Tamandua tetradactyla: one gene and its partner. Each later gene encodes a partner of the first gene's protein in a complex. Links are inferred from orthologs where the notes say so. Each region holds a gene or a part of one and is shown on either strand. Other genes may lie near its edges.

Region 1 (15,931 bases):
GTACTTTTTCCATGTTTATGTTAAGAACTTTAACTGAAACTCTAAATAGCCAGTGATTGAGTATCCTGACTTAAAACTTGCTAGTGTGGAAACAGAAAAAAAATCAGCTTTTCTCTGTATTTTCCAGATGTCCTACAATGAACCTTTTATGTTTATAATTGGAAAGAAATGTATTCATGAAACAGGTCATGATCAGGCTCATTAAGTTAATTTCAAGGATATGAACTGATCTGCAGTTCAGAACACATGAAATGTAAAGACGATGTTTCTAAAAATCTAAATATGGCCTTTGCTATAGTTTCCAGAATATCAGGAAACCTCAGAGTGTCAATGAGTAATTCATAAATATCCTGTAGTTTATTTAAGAGTATTAATCAAAGAAAGTAGGAAAGACATTAAATATGTTTAAGGGATTTCAGTGCTTGCTAATGAAATCAGGAAATAAAAGACTTAAGAGGAACAACAGAGGCTCTCAGATGGTCAAGGACATTATGCCTGCCTCCACTGTCTAAAGAATACATTTTCTGCCCGACAACCAGAAAGGTGGTGAATTGGAAACGTGTAGGGCAGTTGTGGGGCAGCCTAGAGAAGCTCTTAAGTGTGCACTGACCCTTGTCTCCCTGGGAGTCCCCATGCTGCTCTACCTGCCACTGCAACTCTCCCCTCCTGTCAGATGGGCATGGATAGTGTTACTAAAACCAAGGCAACAGAAGATGGGGTGAGGGTAAGAAAACCACAAGGAAGAAAAGAAAGGTTCCTTGTATCTGAAGTGTGAGAAAAACAATTCTACTGCAAGAACTTCAAGTATTATGTAGCTGTTCATGCAGTTGCAATCCTAGAATGTAACTACTTCTGACTATGAGTCCCTGAGAAACTTTTACAGGACTGGAATGAGCATAGTATATCTATTTAACTTGCTATTTTATTGCAAGGGATTTTCTTTCAAGTTATTAATCGAAATAGGAATATATACAAGTTTCTCTTTAGTCTGGAACTACTTTGCATATCATTAGAATAAAGTAATATGGACTACTAAAAACAGTGCACACTTAAGGATTTAGAGTTATTACCAGGCCTTAATACCCCCACACACATATACATTATATATATATATACACACATACATACATACATAGAAATATATACACATATATTCACATATTATAATCACATTCAAGCTCTTCTTGCTTTCAAATTCTTAAATTCCCTACCTAATTTAGTCCTTAGCTTACTATCAGACACTAACCTCACTGTGTAAGCCTGTCAGTGCACCATAAGGGAGGTTCACAAAATCAAAGCATTTATTTTTTTTTCCTCTCATCTCAGAAGTAATGAGTCAGGGAAGCTAAGTAGGAAGGACAGCAGCCTTCTTTTATTAAAAATTTACTGAGAGATGATGTTATCTATTCTCAGTTATGAGGAACAAAATTTGAAGGGATTGGGGAGCTTAGAGGAGTTGAAAAAAGAATAGGGATGACATGCTAATAGCTTTACAGTGCAGGCAGTCCAGTCAGTATTTATGAGGTTTCATTGACATATTTGAATTATCAGGTCAAGGTTAAAAAAAAAAAAAGGTATAAAAATATTCTAGGAGTGATTGTTGTACTAAGGCAATATTCATACCTCTCCTCAAATTGGTATCCTTTAAGTGGGTGCAAATTAGATGGATTGGAAGCTATACAGCAAGTTCTGGCATGCTCATTACTTTTGGGGCTCCACCATTAATAACTGTTTTGAGCTAAAAGTCTCTGTGACTGATAATTTCGATGATTAGAGCCTCTGATGAAGCCTCTCAGGAAGGCTCTACCTGAAAATATCCTTGGGGTTTTAGAGTCACTGTCACCCAGGTATGGCTACAGGCAGAGTCCTTTTGAAAAGCAACTATTAGCTTCCTGAAGAGTTCTTATTGAAACTGAATGCCTGACCCATGTAGGCCTGTGAAATCTGGCCTGATAACCCTATTTGGGGGTGGCTTAACTGAGACTATGACTAATGATGTGAGAGGGGCCAAAAAACAGCTTTGCCTGTCAAATGAAAATGGAATATTCAACAACGCAGCTGGCCTGGCTCCACAGACATCCTGCTTTACATGACAAAGTGGCAGCTCTCAACGGAAAACTTTACTCAACCATATGAAGCAAAGCCACTGGCTTGATGGAGCTGTTAATTCACCCAGACTCTCCTAAATTCTGAGCCTGGTTCATTGATGGTTTTGCTAAACTGAAACAAGATTATTTCCACTGGACTACAGCAGCTGTTAAATCTCAATGCCAGCTATGCAAAACTGAAAATGGATGTGGTCACCTCTACTCAGTGGACAGAACTCAAGGCAGTTCTCAGTTCTGCCCAATCCTCTCTGACGGATCTTCTCATAAGTATACTGACTCTTGGGCTGTTGCCAATACCCTGTTTGATCTGCCACTTGGAAAAAAACTAGACTGGCAGATTGAAGACACCCATCCTAAGGCCATGAGCCGTGGCAACAAATTACAGTTGCTGATCGAACTTTCTGAGGCTCTCATGTAGATGTCCATGGTTAAGGACCTGTTCTCTACTGAGACTGAATGGAAGCTGCTGATGGAGTCTGTACTGTTCAAATTGCTACTATATGATATGATATAAATAATATCTATATGATGATATAGACATGAAAACTCATTCACCATCAAAGACAAGGCACAAAGTGAAGGACTGCCTTCTCCTGCAGAGGCTACTGCTGTACACCAGATTGGTGACTTCCTGCTGAAAGTTGATCTGGTTCTAAGTTGGCAGGCTAAAAGCGCACTGGAACTTTGATCACCTCCTCCCTCTGGCTATGGGTAGTACCTCATCACTGCTGACACTTTTTCAGGTCAAGGTGGTGCTGTTTCAGAACAGCCAGCCAACCGAGGTCACAGAAACTAATATGTGCCATGTGTTTGGTTTCCTGGACAGTTTGCAGTCTGACATCTGTATACCTTTTTTTCCACAAAAACTATTCAACAATGGCTTGATATTCAAGGTATTCAATGGACCTTGCATACACTCTGTTAACCACAGGTATTTGGTATTGCTGAGTGTTGAAACAGCCTCCATAAAAATCAACTCAGTTTAGTCTCCAGTATCTTAGATCAGCTAGAAGTAAAAACCTAAAATTGTGGAATTATAACCCATTCAAACTTTGAAACATGTTCTACAACTAATTGTGGTGCTGTGCTTTGAAATTTATTGTTTTTGTATATATATTATTTTTTACAAAAAAGAAAAAAAGTCGATTGAGATGATTAAAAAAATATTTATGCATTCTAGCCTCCTATATTCTGGAGCAACTAGAAGGAAAAATCTGAGAAGATGGTATGGCAGCCCATGACAAAATCTGGAATCCATCCTGTAACTACTTGTTGAAGAGTGCTTTGAAAACTATTTCTTTTTTCTTTGTTTGCTTTGTATATATGTTATATTGTACAATAAAAAAGTTTTAAAAAATCAACTCAGAAAGATTTGTAACTGCCTCCCTCACCACCTCCTGGCCCATATGCTTTACTAAGGCAATTCAGTGAAAGCGCCTGTCCCCACAAAGAGATTATCTCCTCTCAGCTGCTTCCCAGGTAATGATTAGAATGAACAGTTTGGCATTTTCTTAAAAAGATAAACTATACATGGTAAAAGACCCAGTAGTCCCACTCCTTGGTACTTACACTAAAGTTCTGAAAATTTACATTCACCCAAAAACTTACATATGAACGTTTACAACAGCTCTATTCATAATCACCCAAAACTAGAAACAACCCATATGTTCTGTAATTGGTGAATAGATAAAAAAAACTATGGTATATCCATACAATGGAGTATTACTCATTTTTAATATTGAGAACAGATTAGATTTACCAATCTGTCTTAATAGAGATTTATCCATATAGATTATTGACAAACTTGATGACTCTTAAAGGCAATATGCTGAGTGAAAGCAGTCAGTTTCATAAGGTTACATTCTCTGTGTTTCCATTTACATGACACTGTTGAAAAATCAAAACCATAGTGACTAAGTATAGATCAGTGGTTGCCAGGGATTAGGGTTAGGAGGAATTTATGGCCACAATGGATTAGTATGAGGGAGTACTGGGGAAGATGGAACCGTTCTGTGATCTGACTGAGCTGGAGGTTACATGACTGTATACATCTATTAAAATCCATAGACTGTATGCCAAAAGAAAATTTTACTGTATATCAATAGAAAAATTAAAATTTTAAAAAGGTGTGAAAAACTATAGTTTTCAAAACGTCAAATCATAAAAAAAAAAGGCTGTGTAAATATTCCAGATTAAAGGAATCTTCGCGGCAATGTCTGCCAACAGCAATGAGACCTGTATTCTGCTGCAATCCTATTCAGAGAAAGGGAAAATGGTATCACTAAACCAAAGTATTAAACAGAATCCCAAATCTCACTGATCGTAAAGCTTAGGTCATATACCCACCACTGAACCATCAATCCCTGTTAAACATCGTGGGTGCAACCCATTAAAGGAGAAGAGTAGATGTTGGGGGGGGGCACCTCAATGCCTACAGGCTTGGTCTTTCTCTATTGGTTATATAACACTTTCCCCTATTTAATAATAATTAACTACCACTCATTTTATACAAACCGTGTTTTCCTCCTTCCTCAAGGCCCCTAGAGAGCCAGGAAATGCTTACTTTGGGGAAGACTGCACAACCCAGACCTTCTCAGTCGTGGTGGGCGCCCAAACCCCATGTGGCCTATCCTGAGAACCCCTCACAAGCCGCTGTCAGCCTGGCTTTCCAAAGAGAGCGAGGTAACTGGCAGACAGCTCTGGGGTACCTGTCCCGCGCCCCCATTTGCCATTTCACTCAATATCCTCATCCACCCTACAACTTCTACAGATAGGAAAACGAGGCCTCGAGGGGGTATGTGCCCAGAGTTCCACAGCTAATCAACTGCAGTGCAAGATTCAAACCCGCCACGGCTTGTGACACCAGATCCCACATTTCACAACTCTGCCTCCTCCCCGCCGCCGCAGCCACGGATAAAATGTCAGTTTGGGAGGTGAACGTCCGGGTTTCAGCGACGGCTCCTCGGCCGATCTGCTACCTCAGCCTTCGAGTATGTCTCACCCAGGTGGATACCGTCTACGTCCCTAGCTTAGAGCCCGACGCATTTTTTAAGTGCGGACCAGACGCTAAGGAGGCAGTGGCAACCTCGCAGGGACTCAGCTGAGAGAAATCCGGAGGCGCCGCCCAAGCCCGGCCAGCCGGGTCGGCACCCACGCAGCCGGAAGCGTCCCGGCCGCCAGGGGCCGCGGGGCGGGGCGCGCGGGAACCGCCTCCCGGATCCAGGAAGCAGGAGCAGGGCGCCTGAGCCCGGGGGCGGGGCCGGGGCGCGGCGGCGGGCAGCGCGGCCCGTGGCCATGGCAACGCGGGGAGCTGCGCGGGCCCCGGCAGAAGGCGGCCTTTGACCTGCAGTTGCAGCTACGTCAGAGGCGGCAGCCGACGGCGCCGCCGCCGTCCCCGCTGCAGACGGAAGTGAGGCGGCGGCGGCGCGCGCGGTGGGGTGCGAGGCGCCGCGGGGTTGGCGATGGAGGTAATTCCTTGAGGGGCGTAGGGGCGCGCGGGACGCGCGGGGCGGGGGCCTGGGACTGACCCCCTCCGGCCCCGCGCGTGGCCGCGCCTGCCCTGCGGCTGTGATTTCGGGTTGGAGGTGGCCCCCGGTGGGGAGCGTGCATCCTCTCCCTCCGCGCCCCGAAGCCCCGCGCCGCGCCTCTGCCCATCTCCACCTTCCCGAAACACTTCCCTTGTGATTACAGTCCCCTGGCCGTGCTAGTGCGTGCGGCTTGCCGCAGCCGCTCCCTTCCTCCCTAATGCTCTTTTTCGCGGAAAGGATTTCTCCTTGCTTGATTCCGCGAGAAGAGTTTATCCTGTAGGGTTCCACGCGTTCCTTCTGGCGTTAGGAATAGAGTTATCCTAATCACCTGGGTTTGATTTTGTTTTGCAGGATCCTGTTCAAGATGGGGTGGCTTCCCCCGCCCCCCCTGGAACTGGGAAATCTAAGGTAAAGAGAATACTTGACTAGCAAACACCCTGAAGAGTGGAAGGATGATGAACTTGGAAAACTTTGGCATAGGCAGAGAGTGTGGCCTACTTAAAAGAAATAGTTTTTTCTGAAGGATCTCAATTTTAATTTACGCAATTATTTACCTTTCTTTCTTTCTTTTTCTTTTTGCTAAGTTTCCTGGTAGGAAAAGAGTTGGTTATGTGTTTACTTCCTGTCCCTGGGTCAGGATTGCTGAGAGATCCTGCAGTTTTTCAAACATTAAACAAATCAATCTGACTTATGAGGTTCTATATGAGTGGAAAGAGCGGTATCATTAGGAAGGAGTCAGGGAAGACCTGGTTGGCCTCTGTACCTTCAGTGGCTTTGGGCAAGTTACTTAATCTTTCTGGGTAACGGTTCCTAAAGTGTGAAGAGAACATTGATTTGGGTGATTTGTATGGCCCTACAGAATGTTAAGGAGTCAGTATTTCTAAAAGATAATAGTGGTAAGCACAGTAGCCAAGTTTTTTACTTGACACTGTTTCAGGCACTTTCCTGAGCATGCTGTCACTTCATTTAAGCTTCCTTAATGATGCTTAAGGAATCATTTAAGCTTCCTTAATGATGCTTAAGTGACAGATACTATTGTTATACCCATTTTACAGGTGAGAAAACTAAGCCCACAGGTCTAAGTTTTTTCAAGTATTAAGGCCTAATTTTTGGTTAAAGCTTAAATGTAACTTAATTCATCTCATATCATAGCTATGCTTAAATTTTCAAGTGGCCAAAGACCTCTTTCACCCTTGAATAGAATAAAATAATTTATAACTCTAAAAAACCTTAAGGAGCATTAGTCCCAACCCCCTGATTTTACCATTAGAGAAATTAAAACCCACAAAGTTTCTTAACCTATGACAACAGTATCTTTATAGAAGATACTGTTTACAGTATCAATAATTTGTTTTGTAATTTGTTACAATAATTTGTTTACATTTTATAGTAGTTGCTTAATAATTATTGAGTTGAAATTGTATTTGCTAATTTTAAGAACTATGGAGTAAAGTACGGTGTTTGGTTGGCAGGAAGATTTATTGTGTAGAATTTTTTATTTTTAGGCGGACATTGTATTTCCTTTTTGTGGACTAGTAGAAACATGATTTATACCAGATTGGTAACATCACTACATTTTTCAGCTGGAAGCATTGCCCAAGGAAGATCTCATCAAGTTTGCCAAGAAGCAGATGATGCTAATACAGAAAACTAAATCAAAGTGTACAGGTATTTGGTTGGAAGTACTAATTTTGACCACAAACTGTATTCATGGTTTAGAACATTAGTTTTTTAATAGAATGTTGACTTGTTTTGTTTTACAGTGATTCCAAGCACAAACCTAGTTGATGTGCTGGAATCTGTTACTACTGAAAATTCTAGCCATCTTGACTTTGATGTTTTTATCATCTCATAGCTCTAAACTTCAGTTACCTTTGAGTTATTAAAGTCAGGGAGGAAACATTTTGTTGAAGTTAAACATTTTTTTTCCTGTATGTGGATTCTAGATTCTTCTAAGTCAAGTTTTTTTCTCTAAACGGTTAGTTGAAACGTTAGAAACATAAAGGTTGTGAACTCTAACAAATAAAATGAGGCCTCAAGTAAAGTAATAAATAAAAGATTTCCATTCCTGGAATCATGAAGTATGTTTATTGGCTGAAGTTGATCGAGTCCCTATATTTTCCTTTTCTTTTGATCTCAAAAGGAAAAATATTTTCATATCGTTTTTAATATTTTTAAGTATGTCTTAATATATTAAATAAATATTTAATATCCCAATAATTTATGAATGCTAACTGCTCATCCTAAAGCCAAAACTTGTTTTGTAGTAGGAAAAGATCAAATTATTTTTTGGGAGTTGGAGGTTGGATCAGTTTATGATAAAGTGGTTGATTTATTTTGAAAGCTGTCTAAGGGTCCAGACCCAGGCTTGAGTTAATAAAATACTCAGATGAACATTTGTGCTTAATATGAGATTAGTTGTTGTTTTCAGATTATACAAAAAGAAGTATTTATAGGTGAAATTATATGATGTCTTGGATTTGCTTCTAAATTGTCAGGCTGGGTAAATAAAGGGGCAGGGAGGAGGAAATGAGTACCATTTTGGATGAAACAAGGCATGTCATAATTGCAGAGAGCATAAAGAGTAACCATTCTATTCTCTTTACTTTTCTGTATGTTTGAAGTTTTCCATCATAAAAAGGAATATTGTTCTATGGGTGAGGTTAATAATTTCTCAAAGCATCCACTTTTTACATTGGTTTTAAGTTATAGTGGTTTTATTTTTCCGACTATACTTATCATTTTAGCCAGTGATCATTTTCTTCATTTCTGAGCTGGATTTTTTTTTCTTTTAATAATTGTTTAGAATTGGAGAAAGAAATTGAAGAACTCAAATCAAAGTCTGTGGCTGGAGAAACTGATGATATCATTAAGGTAATAAAATAAGTTGTGAATATTGCTTTAATTTTTTTTTTTTTAAGTTAGAGGAAATGTCTAGCAAGAGTTTAATTTCCTTGGAAGTTGTCAGCCTGCAAGAGTGCTGCCTCCCTTCCAGTCCCTGTTCTACCACTTATTCTCTGGTCTTGGTTAAGGCTTTTACCTCTCAGGTTAATAGTAGAAAGAGAGGGTTCGATGACCTTTAAGTCCCTTCCTACTATAAATGAGTATTCTCTCTTCTCTTCCTCCCACACACTAATTATGATTGGCACTTAAGTCTGTCTTGCTCTTCTCCATCTCCCTCTAAAAACCTAGTCACTCTCAAGGTTTTGATGGTTATTTTGGGGCTGATAATCTCTAAATCTATATCCCTTGGTGTGACTAGTCACCCAAATTTCACAGTTATGTTTCTAGCTGCTTAGGGGGAAAAGCATCTTCACATGGTTCTCATGTCTTCCCCTCCAACTCAACATGACCAAATCCCCACAACCATCTCAATGTCCTCCCACCCTCCTCCTCTTGTTGTGTCAGTGGTACCACGGCTTTTCATGTCTTTTTTTTTTTTTTTTTTTTTTTTTTTTTAAAGGAAAGACAGAGAGAAGGAAGGAAGGATAGAAGGAAGGAAGGAAGGAAGAAAGGGAAACATCTTTAAACACTTTCTTGTTTTATTGTATTTTGTTTCTCCGTTTTTGTTACATGGGCTGGGGCCGGGAATCGAACCGAGGTCCTCCGGCATAGCAGGCAAGCACTTTGCCCGCTGAGCCACCGCGGCCCACCCTTTTCATGTCTTTTTATTTTAGAAATAGTTTGACTTTCCTCTTTATCCTCTACATGTGTCTGTCACCAGGATGTTACTCCAGTTTTTCCTCTTTCTCCATTTCTTTGGCTCTATGTTGAAAAACGTCACGCTTGACTTATTTTAATACTCTCCTCTCCGGACTTTGTTTCTCTTTTTGGTCTTAGATGCTCCTGCCTGGTTACTAAATATACAGATTACTGTATTTATCTTATTATTCCCTGTTTAAGAATCTGAATTGCTTATTCTTATTTCCATGCTCTTAATACTGACTAAGATGTTTTTTGATTCCCCCACCTAGCCAAAGCTTCCTTAAATTTCCTTTTGTTTTTCAAAGCTGTCAAATAAATATTTTCCTGCTCTTTCATAGTATTTATATTTTGAGTCTTATTAATTATCCTTTGATTACATTTTCTTATTTTCTCATTAGGGGGCTGACATCTTGTGAGCAAAGGATCATTGAGGGACTCCCAGGAAATTACTACATGGGGTCTTTAAATCCATATGGTTATCCTCCCTTATTATTTTCTATTTTATTTAGTTACAACAATACATGTAGTTTGAATGGTATGTACAGATACCGTTTGGATTCATGTACTGATTCATTTAAGTATTACTGAATTCATAGTGTGTTTATTTGATTATTTATATTTTCTTAATCTGTAATAGCCAAAATCTAACTATATGGTGGTTAAATATGCTAACTTCAGAACCAGACTGCCTGATTTAAATCTTCAAAATCATGCTTTGCTGCTTACCAGCTATGTGACCTTGGCTAAATTTCTTAACGTTTTCTCTGTGACTCAACTCCTTCATCTGTGAGGTGGAGATAATAATAATATCTGCTTCCCTGAGGGTTGTTGTGAGGATTAAATGAATTAATACATGTATAGCACTTTTGGGTTTGTCATATAAGTACTCAAAGATTGTTATTGTTACCATGTATTATATGTGTGGGGGGTATTTTATGTATGCACACACATAGATACGTGCATACGTACCACACACACACACACACATACACTACCAGCAGTCTTGACGTTGAATACAGATTCTTTTCTGATTTTGCCCTTAATAGGTAGTTTTGAAAGAAATACTTTTGACAATTTCATTTCATGAGGACATCCAGATATTTATCCTCTATTTCCTCCTTATCACTAAACAATATATTCTCCCATTCTGTCAAGACTGCTCCTATAAATGAGAAAAGAAAATTTCTCCAAATTAATCAACTTTTCCTTTCAGGTTACTGAATTACTAGTAAAGTGTCTGACTGCATAAGTCTCAGAAAGTAAACATTTGGAAGGATTAAATGAGAATAAAATCTTTGATTTCCAGTCCTTTACTATAAAATTACTTAAGGGACTAAGTGGAAGAGGTGTTCATCAACTATTCTGCTGCTACAAATAAGTTTTCATTTTTAGAAAAATCATATATTGCAATACAATAAGTTATCTTCATCTTTGAAAAACTGACAAGAATTTCTTGCGAAATTGTAGCTCTTTGGTGGGAAAGTACACTGGAAACACCCACAATAGATTTGAATACAGAATTTTATGTTCTTCAAATAACATGTTTAAAATTTATGACTTTAAAAGTTTTAATTACAGTTAAAATTTCTAATAGTCATCTAATAGTGCATTTAAATACAATCTAAAGTTTTATTGCAAACCTGAAAAATTTTATTTTTAAATAAGATAAATAAGAAACCATATTACCCATATCAAAATTTGAGGTGCATGGTATTACAATGAATTTTGGGGCTTCTTAATGTGAGAGGAAGGTGAAAATTTATGTGAAAATATTGGAATTTCTTACACATTGGAATCTATACTGTGTCACTCTTGTTATTTTCTCTAAGATGAAATCAAAACTAAATTTCCTAAGAAAGATTGTCCGCCTTGTGTTTCTAATCTTTAAGGTATTTTATAGGTGTTTTCAGTTAATGGCCTCTGTATATCTTCTGAAATTAGTTAAATTAGGCTTTCTCTGGTATTTATCAGTCTGAAGTTTATCCTGCAGTGACAAAATTTATTTAAAACTCATTTTAACTAAAATAAAAACATGCACTAAATGCACTTGAACTAAAGTAAAAATGATTTAAAAATAATACTAAATGATAATTTATAATCTTAGCTTCCAGAAATTATTTCTGTATTTCTAATTAATATACTTACATTAACATTCCTTGATGTATCAATTTTAGACATTTAGACAGTTTCTATTCCTGTTATGGCAGATGAAAATTTAGTTATCTTTTATTACCACTCCTACTTTCCGAATGGCCAAGCGTATAAAATAGTGTATCTCTTACATTTTTACCTGGATACCTGGCTTCTGAAGCCTTCTGTCCTCCTCCACTAATTTGGTCTGTTCTGTGCATTTGCTAAATAGTTCTCCTAGGACTGCCTTTTCATGATCCAGTAAATTTTGAAACTACTGTCCTATATTGGCCTTCCTGATAGCTAAGTCACTCTCTTGGTTAACTATCTTATTTTGGCATAACATTCCTCTGTAGCATTCCTAAGGATGTGGAAGAAGTTAATTTTTGTGTCCTGTGTTTAAAAATGCCTTTATGATTACATTTGATAGCTATAACTTGAAATGGATGAAGTTTTCTACCCCTTTTATTTTTATTTTCTTAGAAAATGTTGGGTTTTGTTTATTTGTTTACTTTTACGTAAGTTCAAAGGTAGGTAATTCTAGGGCTGGTTCAGTCTCATAGGGGTGTCATCAGGACCCAGATTCTTTCCATTTTTGTGCTCTTTCATCCTTAGCCTTTAGATTGTCTATACATGTGACACATGATGGGCTACTGCAGTTCTCCTGTTATGAATGGATATTAAAACAGCCAGCTCAAAGAGAGGGACATTTTTCCCTCTGCATCACTTTTTTTTTTTTTTTATTAAATGTACCAACATACACACACAAGCATTCTACATATATAATCAGTAATTCATAATATCATCACATAGTTGCATATTCATCATCATGATTTCTTAGAACATTTGCATCAGTTCAGAAAACGAAATAAAGAAACAGCAGAAAGAAATTCATACATACCATACCCCTTACCCCTCCCTTTCATTGATCATTGGCATTTCAATCTACTAAATTTATTTTAACATTTGTTACCCCTATTATTTATTTATTTTTAATTCATATGTTTTACTCATCTGTCCATAGGTAGATAGATAAAAGAAGCATCAGACGCAAGGTTTTCACAATCACATAGTCATATTGCAAAAGCTATCTCATTATACAGTCATCTTCAACAAACATGGCTACTGGAACACAGCTATACAGTTTCAGGCACTTCCCTCTAGCCTCTCTGTTACACCTTAACTAAAAAGGTGCTGTCTATTTAACCTCCAGGATAACCTCTTGACTCTGTTTGGAATCTCTCAGCCATTGACACTTTATTTTGTCTCATTTTGCTCTTCCCCCTTTCGGTCGAGAAGGTTTTCTCAGTCCCTTGGTGCTGAGTCCCAACTCATTCTAGGATTTCTGTCCCACGTTGCCAGGAAGGTCCACACCCCTGGGAGTCATGTCCCACGTAGAGGGGGGAGGGCAGTGAGTTCGCTTGTGTTGGCTGAGAGACCACATTTAAGCGACAAAAGAGGTTCTCTTGGGGGTAATTCTTAGGCCTAATTTTAAGTAGGCTTAGCCTATCCTTTGCTGGGTTAAGTTTCATATGAACAAACCAAAGATTGGGGGCTCAGCCTATTGCTTTGGTTGTCCCCACTGCTTGTGAGAATATCAAGAATTCTCCACTTGGGGAAGTTGAATTTTCCCCCTTTCTCACCATTTCCCCAAAGGGACTTTTCTGCATCACTTTTTATTGCAATCTACCTCTGAATTTTGAATGCATTGCTCCATTTCCGGTGTTGCTATTAAATAGTCTAATGTCTCTATTACTTCTTTTCCTTTACTTGTGATTTGCTTTTTCCTTCTTGAAGCTTTTATGTTTTAAAAATTTTACAATGACATGCTTTCAGTGGATGAGTTTTCTTTGCCTTTGTGCTTAAGACTCTGGGCAATCTACAGGCCTTTATCCTTCAGTTCTTGTAAATATCTTTTATAGTTTGATTCCAGCCATTCTCTTTGTTCTTGCTTTTGGAATCTCCTATTAGATGTTGGCCCTTGTATCAGGAATGTATTCCACCACAAATAAAAGAACTCTTACCTCAGTGACTTAAAAAAAAATGTGTTCGTGTAACAGAAAAGGAACTTCAGGAATAGACAGTTGAGGAATGATATGTGGCTCAGGGACATTAACAGGTACAGGCTATTTCCATCTTTCCATACCACCAACTTTAACATTCTTGGACATAAGACGTCTGCTCCAGTTCTGGCCAAAGGATTGAGTTCCTTTTAGAAAAATTATGCAAAAGAAGAAAATGTGAAAAGGGCTTTCTCCCAGTTTAGTATCATATAGGTACCCTTGGCTATGAGTGAACCAGGAAAATCAGGGTTTTTTTTTTTTAAACTTTTTTTATTTGTGAAACATATTTACAAAAAAGCAATAAATTTCCAAGTACATTTTAACTAGTAGTTACAGAACATTTTAAAGTTTGCTGTGGGCTACAGTTCCACGATTTTTTGTTTTTCTTCTAAAATCTGAGTTTTTTTGTTTGAACCTCTGTAACATCTTCAGAAGAGGCCAACAGGGGAGACGGGGTTGATTATTATTAAGGTTGAATGAGTCAGTCTACAGACTCTGATCTTACAGGAATGTTCCTAGAATTTATGTTTTCTTTTGAGTTCTCCATTTGAGCTTTCTGAGAAATGTCATCGACTTTTTACTTTTCAGTCTTTTCTTGAAAGTAGGGAGTATTCACCTGGCAGTTTGCAGCTTAAGTGCTGAAATCAGGACCAGGGGTCAAAGGTATGGAGTAGGCTCATCATTTAGTATACACAACTTTCACATAATCCTCTAATGAGGGGAAAATATTCAGCCCTGCATTTAATTCCTGTTCACCCTGTGCTTGGTGTATCTCTTCCTATTCAGTTTCTTTTTTTTTATTCTTCCACTGGACTGTAAGTGGATTAATCACAGGCCTTGATTCATGACATACACTAATCATTAGTCAGTGCAAGGACTGCTTTTACTTAATTATTTCTAATAATACATTCACCTGTGAACCTGATACTCAAAAGAGAAGCTAAAATCTTGAAAATAATGTATATTTTCCTATATATTCCCACCCACTCCCAAACAAGTATCTCACCCCAAACCCCATTTCCCACACCCAGCTTAGCCATCCCCCTAAATCCCGTATTTATCATTCCTTTACTTTTTATAAAGTTTCAGTACATTTGTAAGTGTCCTTGAAATATGTATTTTTAATTTTAATGTGTAACTTCGTTAAAAGGGTAACATGTTTGTAATGTATTAGTACTTTTTTCACTTATTATTATTTTACTAAGCTTCATCTGTATTGTTGCACATCGCTGTGAGTGCTATGGAATATTCCATTGTATGAATATAGTACAATTTGTTCATCTGCTACACTTTTCATGGGCACTGGGGTTATGTCCAGGTGTTTGCTATTGAGTGCAGTGCTTTGTCCATGCTTGTGTGCATGTCTTTCACACGTATGCAAGAGATTCTCATAGGTGTATGCCTGGAATTGCTGCAACATAAAGGATATGAAGGTTCAACCTTAGGAAGTGGTTGAAATAACTTACATTTTCACCAGCAGTGTATAAGGGGTCCTGCAGATCCATATTCTCTCCAGCACCTGGTTTTGCCAGACATTTTAATTTTTGTCAGTCAGATGGATGTAAAATGATAGCTCACGGTAGTATTGAGTACATTTCTTCTATCACTGATCGTATTGAATATTTATTTGTATTGGCCATATATATTTTGTCTTTAAGTAAAATGTCATATCTGCAAACAGTAACCTTTGTTTTCCAATATTAGTCTCAGATCTTTTTTAAATATTTATTATTATTATTTTTTAATTAAAAAAATAATAACAGACATTCTTAACTTAGGATCATTCCGTTCTACATGTATAATCTTTAATTTTATTATGAATTATGTATACAAAGAAAAGAAAGGAAAAGCAATAATTTTCAAACTACAACAAGTAGTTACAGAACAGATTTCAGAGTTTATTATGTGTTACCTTTCCACTATTTAAGATTTTTTCATGTAGCTGCCACAAAACACAGGTGTCTAGAGGAAATATCAATATAGTGATTTTTAGCAGTCATACTCTTTTGTTAAATCCTATTTACTTTGTAATACATCCTCCTTCTTTGATCCTTCTCCCAATCTGTAGCTATCTTTAGGCAATGCCCATTTTGACTCCTCATGTGGAGAACAGGTACTGACATTAAAGGGTAGAGTAGTATAATTAATTGATAATCTTGGAGGGGCTAATCTCTCTGGGTTTCAAGATTAACTGGCCCAGGATCCTGGAAATTATAGGTTCCAGGAAAGCAAACTTAGTCCATGCAATTTTTATAGAGTCTCAATTAGATCCCTAGCTGTTCTTAAGAGTTAACAGGAGTAATGTTTCTTCGGTTTTAGTGAACCATGGCACTTAGCACTATCTAACTGAAGTTTACATAAGAGTAACCTCCAGAGTAGCCGCTTGACTCTGTTTGAT
Region 2 (15,931 bases), on another chromosome or scaffold:
TCGTTTCTTGATTTTCCCCTCAGCTTGTTCATTACTAGTGTATAGAAATGCTACAGATTTTTGAATGTTGATCTTGTAACCTGCTACTTTGCTCTACTCATTTATTAGCTCTAGTAGTTTTGTTGTGGATTTTTCCGGGTTTTCGACGTATAGTATCATATCGTCTGCAAACAGTGATAGTTTTACTTCTTCCTTTCCAATTTTGATGCCTTGTATTTCTTTTTCTTGTCTAATTGCTCTGGCTAGAACCTCCAACACAATGTTGAATAATAGTGGTGATAGTGGACATCCTTGTCTTGTTCCTGATCTTAGGGGGAAAGTTTTCAATTTTTCCCCATTGAGGATGATATTAGCTGTGGGTTTTTCATATATTCCCTCTATCATTTTAAGGAAGTTCCCTTGTATTCCTATCTTTTGAAGTGTTTTCAATAGGAAAGGATGTTGAATCTTGTTGAATGCCTTCTCTGCATCAATTGAGATGATCATGTGATTTTTCTGCTTTGATTTGTTGATATGGTGTATTACATTAATTGATTTTCTTATGTTGAACCATCCTTGCACACCTGGGATGAATCCTACTTGGTCATGATGTATAATTCTTTTAATGTGTTGTTGGATACGATTTGCTAGAATTTTATTGAGGATTTTTGCATCTGTATTCATTAGAGAGATTGGTCTGTAGTTTTCTTTTTTTGTAATATCTTTGCCTGGTTTTGGTATGAGGGTGATGTTGGCTTCATAGAATGAATTAGGTAGTTTTCCCTCCACTTCGATTTTTTTGAAGAGTTTGAAGAGAATTGGTACTAATTCTTTCTGGAACGTTTGGTAGAATTCACATGTGAAGCCATCTGGTCCTGGACTTTTCTTTTTAGGAAGCTTTTGAATGACTAATTCAATTTCTTTACTTGTGATTGGTTTGTTGAGGTCATCTATGTCTTCTTGAGTCAAAGTTGGTTGTTCATGTCTTTCCAGGAACCCGTCCATTTCCTCTAAATTGTTGTATTTATTAGCATAAAGTTGTTCATAGTATCCTGTTATTACCTCCTTTATTTCTGTGAGGTCAGTAGTTATGTCTCCTCTTCCATTTCTGATCTTATTTATTTGCATCCTCTCTCTTCTTCTTTTTGTCAATCTTGATAGGGGCCCATCAATCTTATTGATTTTCTCATAGAACCAACTTCTGGTCTTATTGATTTTCTCTACTGTTTTCATATTTTCAATTTCATTTATTTCTGCTCTGATCTTTGTTATTTCTTTCCTTTTGCTTGCTTTGGGATTAGTTTGCTGTTCTTTCTCCAGTTCTTCCAATTGAACAGTTAATTCCTGCATTTTTGCCTTTTCTTCTTTTCTGATATAGGCATTTAGGGCAATAAATTTCCCTCTTAGCACTGCCTTTGCTGCATCCCATAAGTGTTGATATGTTGTGTTTTCATTTTCATTTGCCTCGAGGTATTTACTAATTTCTCTTGCAATTTCTTCTTTGACCCACTCGTTGTTTAAGAGTGTGTTGTTGAGCCTCCAGGTATTTGTGAATTTTCTGGCATTCTGCCTATTATTGATTTCCAACATCATTCCTTTATGGTCCGAGAAAGTGTTGTGTAAGATTTCAATCTTTTTAAATTTGTTAAGACTTGCTTTGTGACCCAGCATATGGTCTATCTTTGAGAATGATCCATGAGCACTTGAGAAAAAGGTGTATCCTGCTGTTGTGGGATGTAATGTCCTATAAATGTCTGTTAAGTCTAGCTCATTTATGGTAATATTCAGATTCTCTATTTCTTTATTGATCCTCTGTCTAGATGATCTGTCCATTGATGAGAGTGGGGAATTGAAGTCTCCAACTATTATGGTATTTGTGTCTATTTCCCTTTTCAGTGTTTGCAGTGTATTCCTCACGTATTTTGGGGGATTCTGGTTCGGTGCATAAATATTTATGATTGTTATGTCTTCTTGTTTAATTGTTCCTTTTATTAGTATATAGTGTCCTTCTTTGTCTCTTTTAACTGTTTTACATTTGAAGTCTAACTTGTTGGATATTAGTATAGCCACTCCTGCTATTTTCTGGTTGTTATTTGCATGAAATATCTTTTCCCAACCTTTCACTTTCAACCTATGTTTATCTTTGGGTCTAAGATGTGTTTCCTGTAGACAGCATATAGAAGGATCCTGTTTTTTAATCCATTCTGCCAATCTATGTCTTTTGATTGGGGAATTCAGTCCATTAACATTTAGTGTTATTACTGTTTGGATAATATTTTCCTCTGCCATTTTGCCTTTTGTATTATATATATATCATATCTGACTTTCCTTCTTTCTACACTCTTCTCCATACCTCTCTCTTCTGTCTTTTTGGTTCTGACTCTAGTGCTCCCTTTAGTATTTCTTGCAGAGCTGGTCTCTTGGTCACAAATTCTCTCAGTGACTTTTTGTCTGAGAATGTTTTAATTTCTCCCTCATTTTTGAAGGACAATTTTGCTGGATATAGGAGTCTTGGTTGGCAGTTTTTCTCTTTTAGTAATTTAAATATATCATCCCACTGTCTTCTAGCCTCCATGGTTTCTGCTGAGAAATCTACACATAGTCTTATTGGGTTTCCCTTGTATGTGATGGATTGTTTTTCTCTTGCTGCTTTCAAGATCCTCTCTTTCTCTTTGACCTCTGACATTCTAACTAGTAAGTGTCTTGGAGAACGCCTATTTGGGTCTAATCTCTTTGGGGTGCGCTGCACTTCTTGGATCTGTAATTTTAGGTCTTTCATAAGAGTTGGGAAATTTTCAGTGAAAATTTCTTCCATTAGTTTTTCTCCTCCTTTTCCCTTCTCTTCTCCTTCTGGGACACCCACAACACGTATATTTGTGCGGTTCATATTGTCCTTGAGTTCCCTGATACCCTGTTCAAATTTTTCCATTCTTTTCCCGATAGTTTCTGTTTCTTTTTGGAATTCAGATGTTCCATCCTCCAAATCACTAATTCTATCTTCTGTCTCTTTGAATCTATCATTGTAGGTATCCATTGTTTTTTCTATCTTTTCTACTTTGTCCTTCACTTCCATAAGTTCTGTGATTTGCTTTTTCAGTTTTTCTATTTCTTCTTTATGTTCAGCCCATGTCTTCTTCATGTCCTCCCTCAATTTATCGATTTCGTTTTTGAAGAGGTTTTCCATTTCTGTTCGTATATTTAGCATTAGTTGTCTCAGCTCCTGTATCTCATTTGAACTATTGGTTTGTTCCTTTGACTGGGCCATATTTTCAATTATTTGAGCGTGATCCGTTATCTTCTGTTGGCGTCTGTGCATTTAGACAGATTTCCCTGGGTATTGGATCCAAAAGTTTGGAAGATTTTTCTGTGAAATCTCTGGGTTCTGTTTTTCTTATCCTGCTCAGTAGGTGGCGCACGTGGCACACGTTTGTCTGCGGGTCCTACCAGTAAAAGGTGCTGTGGGACCTTAAACTTTGGAAAACTCTCGCCGTCCTGGGGGTTTGCTAGCCGAAGCGGCTTGAGCCAGCCCGGGGTCCGAACGCAGGGAGGGTTGCTGGTCGCCGCAGCCAGGGAAAGAGCCCGTCCGAATTTCCTAGTCGGCCCTGGGCAACAAGCGTGGCGGGAGGGCGCCAGCGGCAGCGGCCCGCCCGAGAGAGTGCACGTTCCCCGGGAGTCACAGGTTTGGAAGGGGCCTCCCCCACCCGTCACCGTTCTCCGCGGCCTGGGGGTTTCCGATCCAGTTCTCTCAGTTGGTCCGGGGGGCTGCGTGTGGTGTGGGCGCCAGCCGCCTTGGTTTCAGGGGACCGCCTCTCCAATTCTCCCAGCCGGCCCGGGAAGGGGGAAGGGAGTAACTCCGGCCGCTTGCCACCCCACCCGGTAAGGCCCGCGTGCCTCGGCGATCTCACCCGAGCTGCTTCTCTCAGCCAGCCAGCCGTTCCAGGATGGGGTACGCTGTCTTTTTTATCTCTGTTGTGGCTTTCGGCGCTTTCTGTATCGTTTCTACTCCTCTAGTAGGTGTCCTGGAGAAGAAACTAAGATCCGCGCGTCTTACTAAGCCGCCATCTTCCAGGAAGTGCTTCTTTTTTCTTTTTTTTGCATGGGCAGGCACCAGGAATCGAACCCGGGTCTCCAGCATGACAGGAGAGAACTCTGCCTGTTGAGCCACCATGGCCCACCCTCCTAAGCATAATTTTAAGTAGGCTTAAGCTATCCTTTGCAGGAATGATTTTCATACAGACAAATTCCAAGATTAAGGGCTTGGCCTATTGATTTGGTTGTCTCCACTGCTTGTGAGAATATCAGAAATTCTCCAGATGGTGAGGCTGAATATAGAATATATCCTCCTTTCTCCTCAGTCCCCCTAAGAGGATTTTGCAAATACTTCTTTATTCACTGCGTAAATTACTCTGGGATATATCCAAGCATCACATTAATCTGGAAAAATCAAAAATATCTCATGGCTTATTCAAGATTCCCTGTACTTATGATGTTCAACTAAACTGATAATACTAGTTAAATTAGATAATGTGCTGCCCAAAATATAAATTCTGCACCAAATTAACATCTCTCCCTTTGGTCTCACACAGAAGTTGAAGTTTTAAAACATGGACGATATTATTCTTTATCCTGTATTCTGATCTACCCCAGTTCTATACAGATCAGCTTCATTCATATTTCTATTCAAAGCTAGATCCCCTTTTCAACTTTTAAAACAGTACCTTAATGGGGTGCTGCTGATTTTCATAGCTTCAGAGCTCGCACTCTGAGTCTCAGGTGTTACATAAATACCCGAAGTTTCTGGGAACAATCATGTTATATACAAATAGCTCAGTAGATCAGATTTTAGAAATAACAGTTACAATTCAGGAGTTGTATATATGTGACTGCTGAAAGAGCTTAAAATCTAGGATCCTTTACAATTCCAATCTGGTAACCTCTGCTCTCAACTTCAGTTCACCACATTTTTATAATATAGTTAGTCCACATGAGTGAGGCATGCTAATATTTGTCTTCTTGTTTCTGACATTTGAACATAAGGTCCTTAGGTTCATTCACATAGTTGTATGCCTCACAGCTTCATTCCTTCTTGCAGCCACTCAGTAGTCCATTGTATGTGTAAACCACAGTTCCCCTTCCATTCCTCAGATATCATACCCTTAGGCCACTTCCATCCGTTGTAAATCACTAACACTGCTGCCATAAACACCAGCCAGTAACTACTTTTAAGGGCAATTTAAAAAAAAAATCAAATGTTCAATTCTGACTGTTTTTATCATTCCATTCAAAATACATTTGCACAAATTCTTTTGCCATTTAATGGAGAGAACAGTAAGAAGTGAATAAATTTTGACAGAAAAGGAGGCTTGTGGATATAGCTGTATTCTAGATATATTCTGAAAATTTCTGTTCTGTATTAGTTTGTTAAATCTGCTGGGATGCAATATACCAGAAATGGAACGGCTTTTAAAAAGGAAATTTATTAAGTTACAAGTTTATAGTTTTAAGGCCATAAAAATGTCCAAACGAAGGCATCCAGATAAAGAAACCATGACTCAGGAAAGGGCCGAAGATGTTCAAGCTTTCACTGACAGCTGGGAAGATACCTGGTATTGTCTGCTGATTCTTTTCCTTGTGGTTTCAAACGGCTTCTCTGGGGGTGTTTTCTTTCTATATCTCCAAATGTCTGTGCTGGCTCTGGAGCTTTTTTCAAAACGGTACCCTCTTAAAGGATTTCAGTAAGTGACTTCACCTCGAATTGGTGACCACACATCTATTGAAACCACTTAATCAACAGGTCCCACCCACAAGTGGGTGGGCCACACCTCCATGTAAAGAACTTAATCAAAAGATCCCATCCAACAATATTGAATCAAGATTAAAGAACATGACTTTTCTGGGGTACACAACAGTTCCAAACTGGCACAGTTTCCTTCCCTTGATTTATTCTAGGTCAGCAATTCATCCCTGGGCTTGAAAAGGAACTTCTTTGATACTGCCATTTCTATAGCTAAGTAAGTAATAACCCTGGAATAATGAGAAAATATATATATAAATGTATTTTGCGAATGGTAAGACACTATACGCACATGTAAGGATTTATTATTAACTTGAGAAATATTTTTGATACCAGTTTTTAAAAGTAACCTCTTCAAAACACAGGGATTACTCTTTCATACTCTATCACCACAGTGTGATGACATTTGGAGGAAGTTGTGTGGATGCCAAATTCTCTAATTCCGAGATTCTTAGCCTTTTATTTATCTTTTATTAACAGACTTTATTTAGAACAGTTTCAGATTTACAGAAAAATTGAACACATCATAGAGTTCCTGTATACCATACGCACTATACAATTTCCCCTATTTTTAGCATCTTACATTAATATGGTCTATTTGTTACCATGAGTTAATACTGATACATTGCTATTAACTAAAATCCATACTTTATTCAGATTCCCTTCGTTTTTATCTAATGTCCTTTTTCTGTTCCAGTATCCCATCCAGGATTCCACATTACATTTAGTCATCATGTCTCCTTGGGCTCTTCTTGGCGGTAACATTCTTTGTTTTTTAGATCACAAATCCAGGTGAAAGCTATGGATTCTCTCTACCGAAAAATGTACATGCTTTCAATGGCTAATTTAAGGGAGGTCCACTTACGGTGATTCAGAAGCCCTGCTTAGGGGGAAAGGAAGAGCTTTAAAATACCTACTTCGCAAGCTCTGCCTCTAATTTGTTGTGTGTCTCTCCGCAAAGGCGTTATTCTATATGGGTCTCAATTTCACCATCTGTGAAATGAAGGATTTGGTTTACATGATACTTAAACTCCTCTAGCACGGTGGAGTGTAATGTTCAAGTTATCAGCATCTGAGGACGATAGATCGACCCGTTAGGCCAAGAAAGTGCGGCCAAGAAAGTGCGCTGGCTTATCAATAAAGACACCACACAGATACAATGGGAGAAAATGAGAAAACCTGGGTTCTACTTTCCGGCTGTGCGGATTTTGCAAGCCATTTCCTCTCTCTGGACTTCAGTTTCTTCATTTGCAAATCGTGGAGGCCTTGTTTCTGGCAGTTATGAAACTCCTTGCAGCACCAATAGAGAATGTACCTAGTTAAGTGCCAATGTGAGGAATTATGATGAGTAAGAAGATGGAGAAAGTGGGTGGATACATACATGGGTGAAAGGTTGACACGAGGAATGTAAGGCAGGGATGGGAACAGAGGAAAGACGAACACAGCCTACACTTTAGTGCTCTCCGACCCCACCCGTACATCTCTGGGGTAATCCCTACTTCCGTTCGGGCCCCGCCTCTACCCCCTACTTCTCAACTCTTAGGGACAGACCCGCCACACTCTGCATGGCCGCCACTGCGCGCCTCTTTTCACAGCGCGAAGGCCGCGCGCGTTCTCGCACCGCCACCTCATTCTCGTCCCTGTCGGTCCTTGGCCTCTTCCGATTGGCTCACTACGAGCGTGACGTAAGCACTCCATATTTCACCCTTTCCTTTTCCTTTGGCTCCGTCCTGCCCCTCCTAGCTCCTCCCGACGTGCTGGAAACTTAACTTGCCCTAGTCTCCGCGGCGCCGGAAACCGGGAGAGCTGGCTAAACCAGGAAGGCGATGGTCGTGGCGCGCACGCGCACGCACTCACGCACGCACGTCGGCGGGCGCCGGGCGGCAGGCTCGCGCCCGGGCTTCTTCCGCGCCGCGCCACAGGCTCGCGCACTTAGCAGGTTGGGCTGCGGCGGCGACAGCTGAGGGAGTTGAGGCGCTGTGTGGGAGAGATCCCAGACGCGTCTGAGGCTCTGGTTTTGCCATTCTTCTTTTCTCTGACCCCACTTTCCGTGCCAGGTACTGAAGAAGGGAAGGAAGTTAGCCCTGGAAACCTCGAGTACACCCTTGGTTGCTTCGACACCCGCCCTCCTTCCCTTCCGAGCCACGGGCCTCGCTTGGTGCTAGGCGACTCTGCTGGGAGGCGGCGGCGGCGACGGCTGCCTGTCTGTGGGGAGTCCTGCCCTCCAACCTTTCTCATCCGCCGGGCCCTGCAGGGGCCAAGAGAGCTGGGCGCCTGCCCTTCCTCTCGCTTTTTTCCTCAGCCGGTTGGAGCATCGTCGGTCCGGAAGGTCTCTGGGCTGAGGCGGCGGCAGCTCCTCCGGCTCCATCATGTCCGCGGGCGGAGACTTCGGAAATCCGCTGAGGAAATTCAAGCTAGTGTTCCTGGGGGAGCAAAGCGGTGAGTGCGCGGCTCCCCCCACTCTTGGCACCTTGCGGCGGCTTCCCGTCGCCGCCCCCAGTGCGGTCCTTCAGTCCGCGGAGGCTTCTTGCCGGCCTCGCATTCATGCTCTGTTCCATCCCCCCGGCCCTTCCCTGTCTTCGCCAACCCCTCTTCTCCCTGGCTTCTCCGTCCCTTGATCTGTCGATCGATTTTACTCTTCTCCTTTGGCCCTTCTGACCCCGACTCTGCTGTCTGGTTCTTCACAGGCCTGCCCTCACCTACCGATCTGCCCTTCCCAGGCCTTACCCCGCCCAGCCTCTGCCTCCTGTCCATCTCTTTCTTCCTCTGGTCTCCGTCTCCCTTACCCCAGCCCTTTTTCTTGAGCCCCACCCCTATTCCTTGCACTCTGCCGGGCTCGTCGCCTCTGTGATGGCCACCCCTGGAAGCCCCGCTCCTGGGAACAGGCCCTTCTCAGACTTCGGCAAGGAGGGTGGTATCTGGGCGTTGTTTTCCCCTGGGGATTGGCTTGGGAATTGAGGATCTTTATGGAAGGTGGGAAATGGTGATGGTAGAAAATTCTTGGATGCTTTTTACCGTGGTGTAGAATTAATCTGTATTATAGCGGAATTATGTCTGAATTGGAAGCGTTTTGTGAATTGGGTGGTCTGCGTGAGGGATGGCGGCGGGCGTGGAGGCTTTTGCTCCTTGAGTTGGGTTCTGGCTTGTCGGAAAAAACCTCATTTTCTTCTCTTGACTTGAATCACTGACGATTCTTTTGGCAATGTTGATGCTTTTCCGATCTCTGCCAGATGCTATGTCATGATCGTTTTACTTGGAATTTTTCACATTCAATCTCCCCTTTTTCTCGTTTCAACATGAAGCGCTCTCTTATTTTTCTCATGGTGGTGCATACAGGAATGACTGGGGAAATGTTAATTATTCATTTCTTCTTGTATGTTTTCCAGTCATATATTTAGGATTTCTTCGAGAGGTTTGAGAATAAGGAATATCTTTGTTTTGTAGGATTTCCTTGGGGGTGGGGAGCGTTAGGGAGTTATCTAAATTAAATTTGTTATACTTTGGGTAAATGACTTTTATGCCTAATGTTCCATAGTATTTGGTGAATGAAACTAATGTCATTTAACCTGATCAAAGTTCTGCTCTTGCTGTAGTTTGTATTAGAAGAGATCCTAATTTTGTGAAGGTTGTCTCTAAAATTATTTCTTCTAGTAATTCCAATTTTATGCTGTTATGCAAATGTTTCGAATACAAATTTCCTATCTGCAGTATGCAAATTTGTTTAGAGATTATTACCCTCTTTTGTTTTTCTCACACTGTTCATGACCATCATTAAAATTCAAATTTGAGTGAGAAGTTCCTCCCAAATCATCAAACATTGGGTATCTACTAGGTGACTTAGGTTATATTAGAGAAAACATTATTTTGCCTAGAAGGCAGGAACCAATACAAATTCAGAGCTTTTATTAACTAATACTGTGAACTATTTAAACTAATTTATATGACATTAAGGTAGGCTAGTATTAGCTGCAAAATTACTTCCACTTGCACCTGAACAATCATTTTTCTCTTTCATACATAGATCTTTTTCCCCTTGCCAAGGAAAAATAAAGCCTACTCTTTGCTTATAGATTTTCTTGAAGTACGCCTTAAGTTTTTTTTTAAGATGAGTAACTTGGTAGAACATAAGGAATTGATTCTGATCCAGGCATTTTATGGCAATATCAGGACAGTGCCGTACATGAAAAATAGTCTGTAGGTCAACATTGGTAAATAGGATCTAAGTGCTTATTTTTCAGTTTAGGGATATTATTGCCTGCCTTGTGTTGTGATGCATCTATTTAGTTTGCATGAAAAACTCTTTAATCTCTTTCCTAGGATGGTTTTAGCATGTGTAGAGATCTGAATTTAAGTGTATTTATGTTTTAATTCACATTGTAGAGTTTCATGGCTTCTCATTTATATTTTCTTAAAACCTTTGATAATCTCATCTCCCCTCCCCTCCCCTCAGGTAATTCCTGGAGTCATTTTTTTATTTTTGTTTTTACTTAGATTTAATTTTCCTTTTTTTTTTTTTAACATGAGCAGGCACTGGGAAACAAACCTGGGTCTCCAGCATGGCAGGTGAGAATTCTGCCACTGAGCCACTGTCACACCACCCTACTTAGATTTAATTTTTGGACAGTTTGAGATTTACAGAAAAATTGAGAAGTTAGTACAGAGAGTTCCCAGATGGTATACCTCCCACCCCCACCTCCCAGTTTCCCCTGTTATTAGCATCTTTTCCTAGGATGGTACATTATTTAAAATTAAAGAACCAGTATGGATACTTTATTAACTAAAGCCCCTAGTTTATTCACATTTTCTTAGTTTTTACCGCTTGTTTTTTTTTTCCCCTCAGGATCCCATCCAAGCTACCACATTACATTTAGTTATATCTCCTTGGTCTCCTCTTGTTTTGGTTTGGGGATGGGGTGGGGTGGAATTGGGTTTATATGCTTTTTACTCTTAATTGTGACAGTAACTACCTTTTGAGGCTACTGTATAGCTAAATAGTGCATCCAATAGCTTTGACAATGAAAAATTGATCTTTCCTTTCTTGGGCAGTGTTTGCAATTTTCTTATGCATTAGGGAAGGTCTATAGAATTCGTGCCATCTTGATGTAACTCTTAAGAATTATTTATTATCAGGTCTGTTAGATTTCACATTTCAGCTTCCAAAGACTAATCTACGGCAAAGCCTTGTTTATTTCCTTAATGGCATTTACCTCACTTATACTTATCTTATTTTTAAATCTATTTCCCATAGCAGAATGCAAATTTCATGAAGATAAAAACTATTATCTTTCTTATTGATTGTGTCCCCAATGCCTGATACAGTGCCAGGCTCATAGTAGGTGCTCAGAAATATTTGTTGAATGATGGTTGAATTTAAAAGTAACCAAGGCCAATTAAAATACTAGCAGCCTGTATTATTATTTGCTCTGGTGAAGGTGTTGTCTGTATTTTTTCCTTATGGAATAAGGAATATGCAATAATATTTTTTTCTTTTTTTTTGTAGCTGTGTGGTGGGGGTTCACATTTCATTCTTTTTGCATGTGACTAGCTCATTATTGCTGCATCATTTGTTGAATTTTTTTCATGGGTGGAGGGAGAAGTGCATACAGTAACATTTTGTACTTGCATCATTTGATTGTAGGCATTGATATTCCAGATGCTGGGGAGTTGGGGAAGGGAGTGGAGCAACAATAACTCATATGCCTAACTTTTTCTCTAAGAAAAATAAGACTGACCTGGAGTTTGCTTTTTTTTTCCGAGTTGAATAAAATTCGTCTTGCTTTGTTAAAACCATTGTTAAAATTTATTATTTTTGCTATTAGTAAACATGTAGAAGTATGTCAGATGATATTGAAGATGTGTTTGTAGAAACTGCTCTATATAATTTAGTGAAAATTTAAAGTACTATGCTCTATAATGAAAATGAATTGTTTCAGCACCTCAGTCCTCAGATTGATGACACATCAGCCTTGGAAATCTTTGTATAAACTCTTATCTTTTATCTTTCATTAATATCCCTGGTTTAATAAAGGAATGGTGAAATATACAGATTGAATCTGAAGTTCACTTGAGGAGGCTCTTTCGTTCCTATATCTGACTATTGTCTTGAAATGCCGAGGCACTTTTAAGAATATGTTCCTGGTTTACAATAGATTTTGCTACACACAAGTGTCTTTGATTACAAATTAGATAATGTTATGGCAGAGAGAAGCACATAAATGTATTACCCGGCCAAGTACTCTTTTTTTTTTTCCCTTTATTTTGCATTTCCAGCCAATTTGCATCAGCTTTTTTGAATTGCAACATGCTAGGTGGGGAAAATGTCTTTCTGTCAGTGATCCAGTGGTACTGAGTGTTGTATGGGCTAAATCAGTGATTCTTAAACCTTTTCTTCGTAGGCCTGATTAAATAACTTATACCTATCAATATTGACAGTATTAAAAATGAACTGATTTTGGTAATGAATGATGGAGACGGTGGCACAACATTGTGAATGTAATAACACTATTGAATTATGTATATGAATGTGGTTAAAAGGGGAAATTTTGCGTTGTATGTATGTTACAAGAATAAAAATTAAAAACAACATAGGACTGTATAACATAGTGAACCCTATTATAAATGGTGGACTGTAGTTAATAGTACAATTATGAAAGTGTTCTTTCATGAATTATAACAAAGGTACCATACTAATGCAGGGTGTTAATAATAGGGTGGTAATTGGGATCCCTGTATTTTATGTATTTTTTTGCATATTTCTGTAAATGCACAACTTCTTTACCCAAAAAATATATGTATTTAAAAAAACAGATTAGTAAAATGTTGAAAATTTTAAATACTTAATTCATTAAACAATAGCAGTAATTACATATTTATTTTGTTGTTTTTCTTTTTTTCACATGTGAACGTAATTATTTATGAAAAAGAACTGTTTTCCGAACAATTTTAGTGAGAGTTGCATTGTTTTGCATATTTACAAATCTCTTTAATATTTGACTTAATATTAATTAAACCAGCTGGATATATAGCTGGTTCTGTGTTCAGTTTGTTGTGATAGCGCATATCATGTAACCTCTGGGAAACTCTACTGTACAACACATAGGAGTATAAGAGTGAAAAATCCAAATAACATCTCAATGATATTATGCAACTGCGTTGAACTTTGTAGATCTCCTGAAGGGGCTTGTTGATCCCCTGCTGTTTGTGGACCACACTTTGAGATCTGCTGGGCTAGATGATATAAGGCTACTTTGTGGCTTCTTGCAGCTTCATGTTGCAAGTGAGAACATTCCGGAGAAATTTTTTCCATATCTTGATTTTGAAACTTTTAAACAGTAAGGCTAATGGTTAGAACACAAAATCTGGGTTTCATATTTTAATATTGGGCACTGACCTTGGGCATATTACTTCTTCTTATGCTTCAGTTTCCTTTTCTATAAAGTAGAGATGATAATACTCTCATACAGAGTCTTTGTGAAGTCTTTGTGAAGATAAGTGCAAAGCATTTAGAAGAGTGCTCAGTAAATATTATTTTACTGGGAAGTGCTCAGTAAATATTTTAATTTAGCAAATGTTTACTGAAAACTGTGCTCAGTGGTTTGATAGTTTATATTCCATCAGGAAAAAATATATAATATCTAATTCAATATACCATGATGAGTGCAGCTGCTTTTAAAAGTAGAGTTTAAACATGCACGGAGAAGAGTGACAGGAGCTTGGCATTTCAGGGGAGGCATATTATAAATATAACTATTAAGCATCCATTATTTAAATTAGGTGTATTTTTTTCCCATATGCCACCTTATTATTAACATCTTATAATAGTGATATATATTTGTTGTAATTTATGACAGAACATTGTACTTGTACTATTCACCACAGACATCATTCACTGTAGGACTTATTATGCTATATGGCTCTGTGTTTTAATCCTCTAGCTTTTCTTCTAGTAACATACACAGTCTAAAACTACCCCTTTTATCCACATCATACACATAATTCAGCACTGTTAATTATATTCACAGTAGTATGCTGCCATCACTTGTATCCATTTCCAAACATTTACAATTAACCTAAATAGAAATCCTGCACAAATTAAGCATCAGCTCCCCATTCTATCTCCTGGTAATCTATATTCTAGATTTTAACAATGAATTTACTTATTATACTTAGACCATATTAGTGAGATCATGCAATATTTACCCTTTTGTGTCTAGCTTATTTCACTGAATATACTGTCTTCCAGATTCATCCAGGTTGTCACACGCATCAGGACATCATTCCTTCTTACTGCTGAATAATATTCCATCGTATGTATGTACCACAGTTTGCTTATCCATTCCTCGGGTGATGAACACTTGGGTTGCTTCCATCTTTTGACAGTTGTGAATAATGCCACTGTGAACATCGGTGTGCAAATGTCTGTTTGTGTCCCTGTTTTTAGTTTTTCTGGGTATACACTTAGTAGGAGGATTGCCAGATCATATGGCTGTTTTTTACATAGCTTGCTGAGGACCTGCCAACTGTATTCCACAGTGGCTGCACCATTTTACATTCCCAACAGTAGTGAATAAATATACTATTTCTTCACATCCTTTCCAAATGCTTACAGTGTTCTGTTTTTTAATAGTGGCCATTCTAGTAGGTGTGAAATATCATCTCATTGTGGTTTTGATTTGCATTTCTGAAATAGTGATGTTGAGTATCTTCATGTGCTTTTTAACCATTTGTATTTCCTTAAATCTTTTGCCAATTTCAATTGGATTATCTTTTTATTGCTGAGTTGTAGATTTCTTTATTTATTCTGGATATTAAACTCTTATATGTAGTTTTCAAATATTTTCTCCCATTAAGTTAGGTAGCCTTTTCACTTTTCTGTTTTTAATGTTTTTTTTTTAATTTTGAAATATACATACAAAACAGCAATAAATTCCCAAGTGCATTTTAACAGGAAGTTACAGAACAGATTTTAAAGTTTGATATGGGTTACAGTTCCACGATTTTTTGTTTTTTCTTCTGCCTGCTCCAAGATACTAGAGACCAAAAGAAATATCAATATAATGATCCAGTCATACTCATTATATGCCTCCTCTTTTTTCTTTTTTTTGTGAAAAATAACATCCACAAAACAATAAATTTCAAAGTGTGTATATATATAATATATATATATATATATATATATATTTTAACATGGGCAGGCACTGGGAATTGAACCCGGGTTCTCTGGCATGGCAGGCAAGCATTCTTGCCTGCTGAGCCACCGTGGCCCGCCCTATTTCAAAGTATATTGCAACAGTTGGTTGTAGAACAGATTTCAGAGTTTGGTATGGGTTACAATTCCACAATTTTAGGTGTTTACTTCTGGTTGCTCTAAGGTATGGGAGACAAAAAGAAATATCAGTACAGTAATTCAGCACTCATACTTCTTTGTTAAATAAACCCTACCTTTTCTGTATAACTCTCCACCATAACCTTTGATCCTTTTCTCACTCTTTAGGGGTATTTGGGCTATGCACATCCTTACTTTTTCATTTTGAAAGGGACTTTCGATAACATGGGTTAGGGGGTTGAAACTAGTTGATGTTCTGGAGAGGCTGGCCCCTCTTCATTTCAGTACTTAACCTGTCCAGGGACCCATCTGGAGGTTGTAGGTTTCTGTAAAGTTACCCTAGTGCACGGAACCTTTGTAGAATCTTATATAATATCCTAGGTGTTCCTTAATATTGGCAGGAATGATTTAGGTTGGGGGTTGTCAAGTTATGAAGGTAGCAATGTCTAACTGAAGCCTGTATAAGAGTGACCTCCAGAGTAGCCTCTCTCAGCCACTGATATCCTATTTGTTACACTTCTTTTCCCCCCTTTGGTCAGGATGGTATTGTTGATCCCATGGTGCTAGGGCTAGGCTCATCCGTGGGAGTCATCTCCCACATCGCCAGGGAGACTTTCACCGCTGGATGTCATGTCCCATGTAGGGAGGAGGGCAATAGTTTCACTTGCAGAGTTGGGTTTAGAGAGAGAGAGAGAGAGAGAGAACATTGGGCAACAAAAGGGTATTTTTGGAGGTAACTCTTAGGCGTAGCTATAGGTAGGCTAAGCTTTTCTGCTGCCTACATAAGCTTTACAGAAGTAAGCCTCAAGATCAAGGGCTTGGCCTATTGATTT

Evidence for each region.
Region 2: the proteins of GCC2 (region 1) and RAB6A are in contact, whole or in part, in a crystal structure (PDB 3BBP), measured with the Homo sapiens proteins. The link is inferred for Tamandua tetradactyla from reciprocal best matches to the Homo sapiens genes GCC2 and RAB6A. Residues at the interface, in NP_852118.2 of Homo sapiens: Thr1585, Ile1588, Leu1589, Glu1591, Gln1592, Leu1595, Leu1596, Glu1599, Arg1602; in NP_942599.1 of Homo sapiens: Lys15, Ile46, Gly47, Ile48, Trp67, Arg74, Phe75, Ser77, Leu78, Ser81, Tyr82, Asp85.

The regions. Positions count from the first base shown.
Region 1 is NC_135343.1:73,139,108-73,155,038, forward strand, and holds the start of GCC2 (GRIP and coiled-coil domain-containing protein 2), read left to right. Parts: upstream 1-5,480; 5' UTR 5,481-5,569; coding exon 5,570-5,575; intron 5,576-5,986; coding exon 5,987-6,043; intron 6,044-7,218; coding exon 7,219-7,303; intron 7,304-8,441; coding exon 8,442-8,509; intron 8,510-15,931. UniProt on the Homo sapiens protein: Golgin which probably tethers transport vesicles to the trans-Golgi network (TGN) and regulates vesicular transport between the endosomes and the Golgi.
Region 2 is NC_135334.1:72,219,342-72,235,272, forward strand, and holds the start of RAB6A (ras-related protein Rab-6A), read left to right. Parts: upstream 1-7,651; 5' UTR 7,652-8,142; coding exon 8,143-8,212; intron 8,213-15,931. UniProt on the Homo sapiens protein: The small GTPases Rab are key regulators of intracellular membrane trafficking, from the formation of transport vesicles to their fusion with membranes.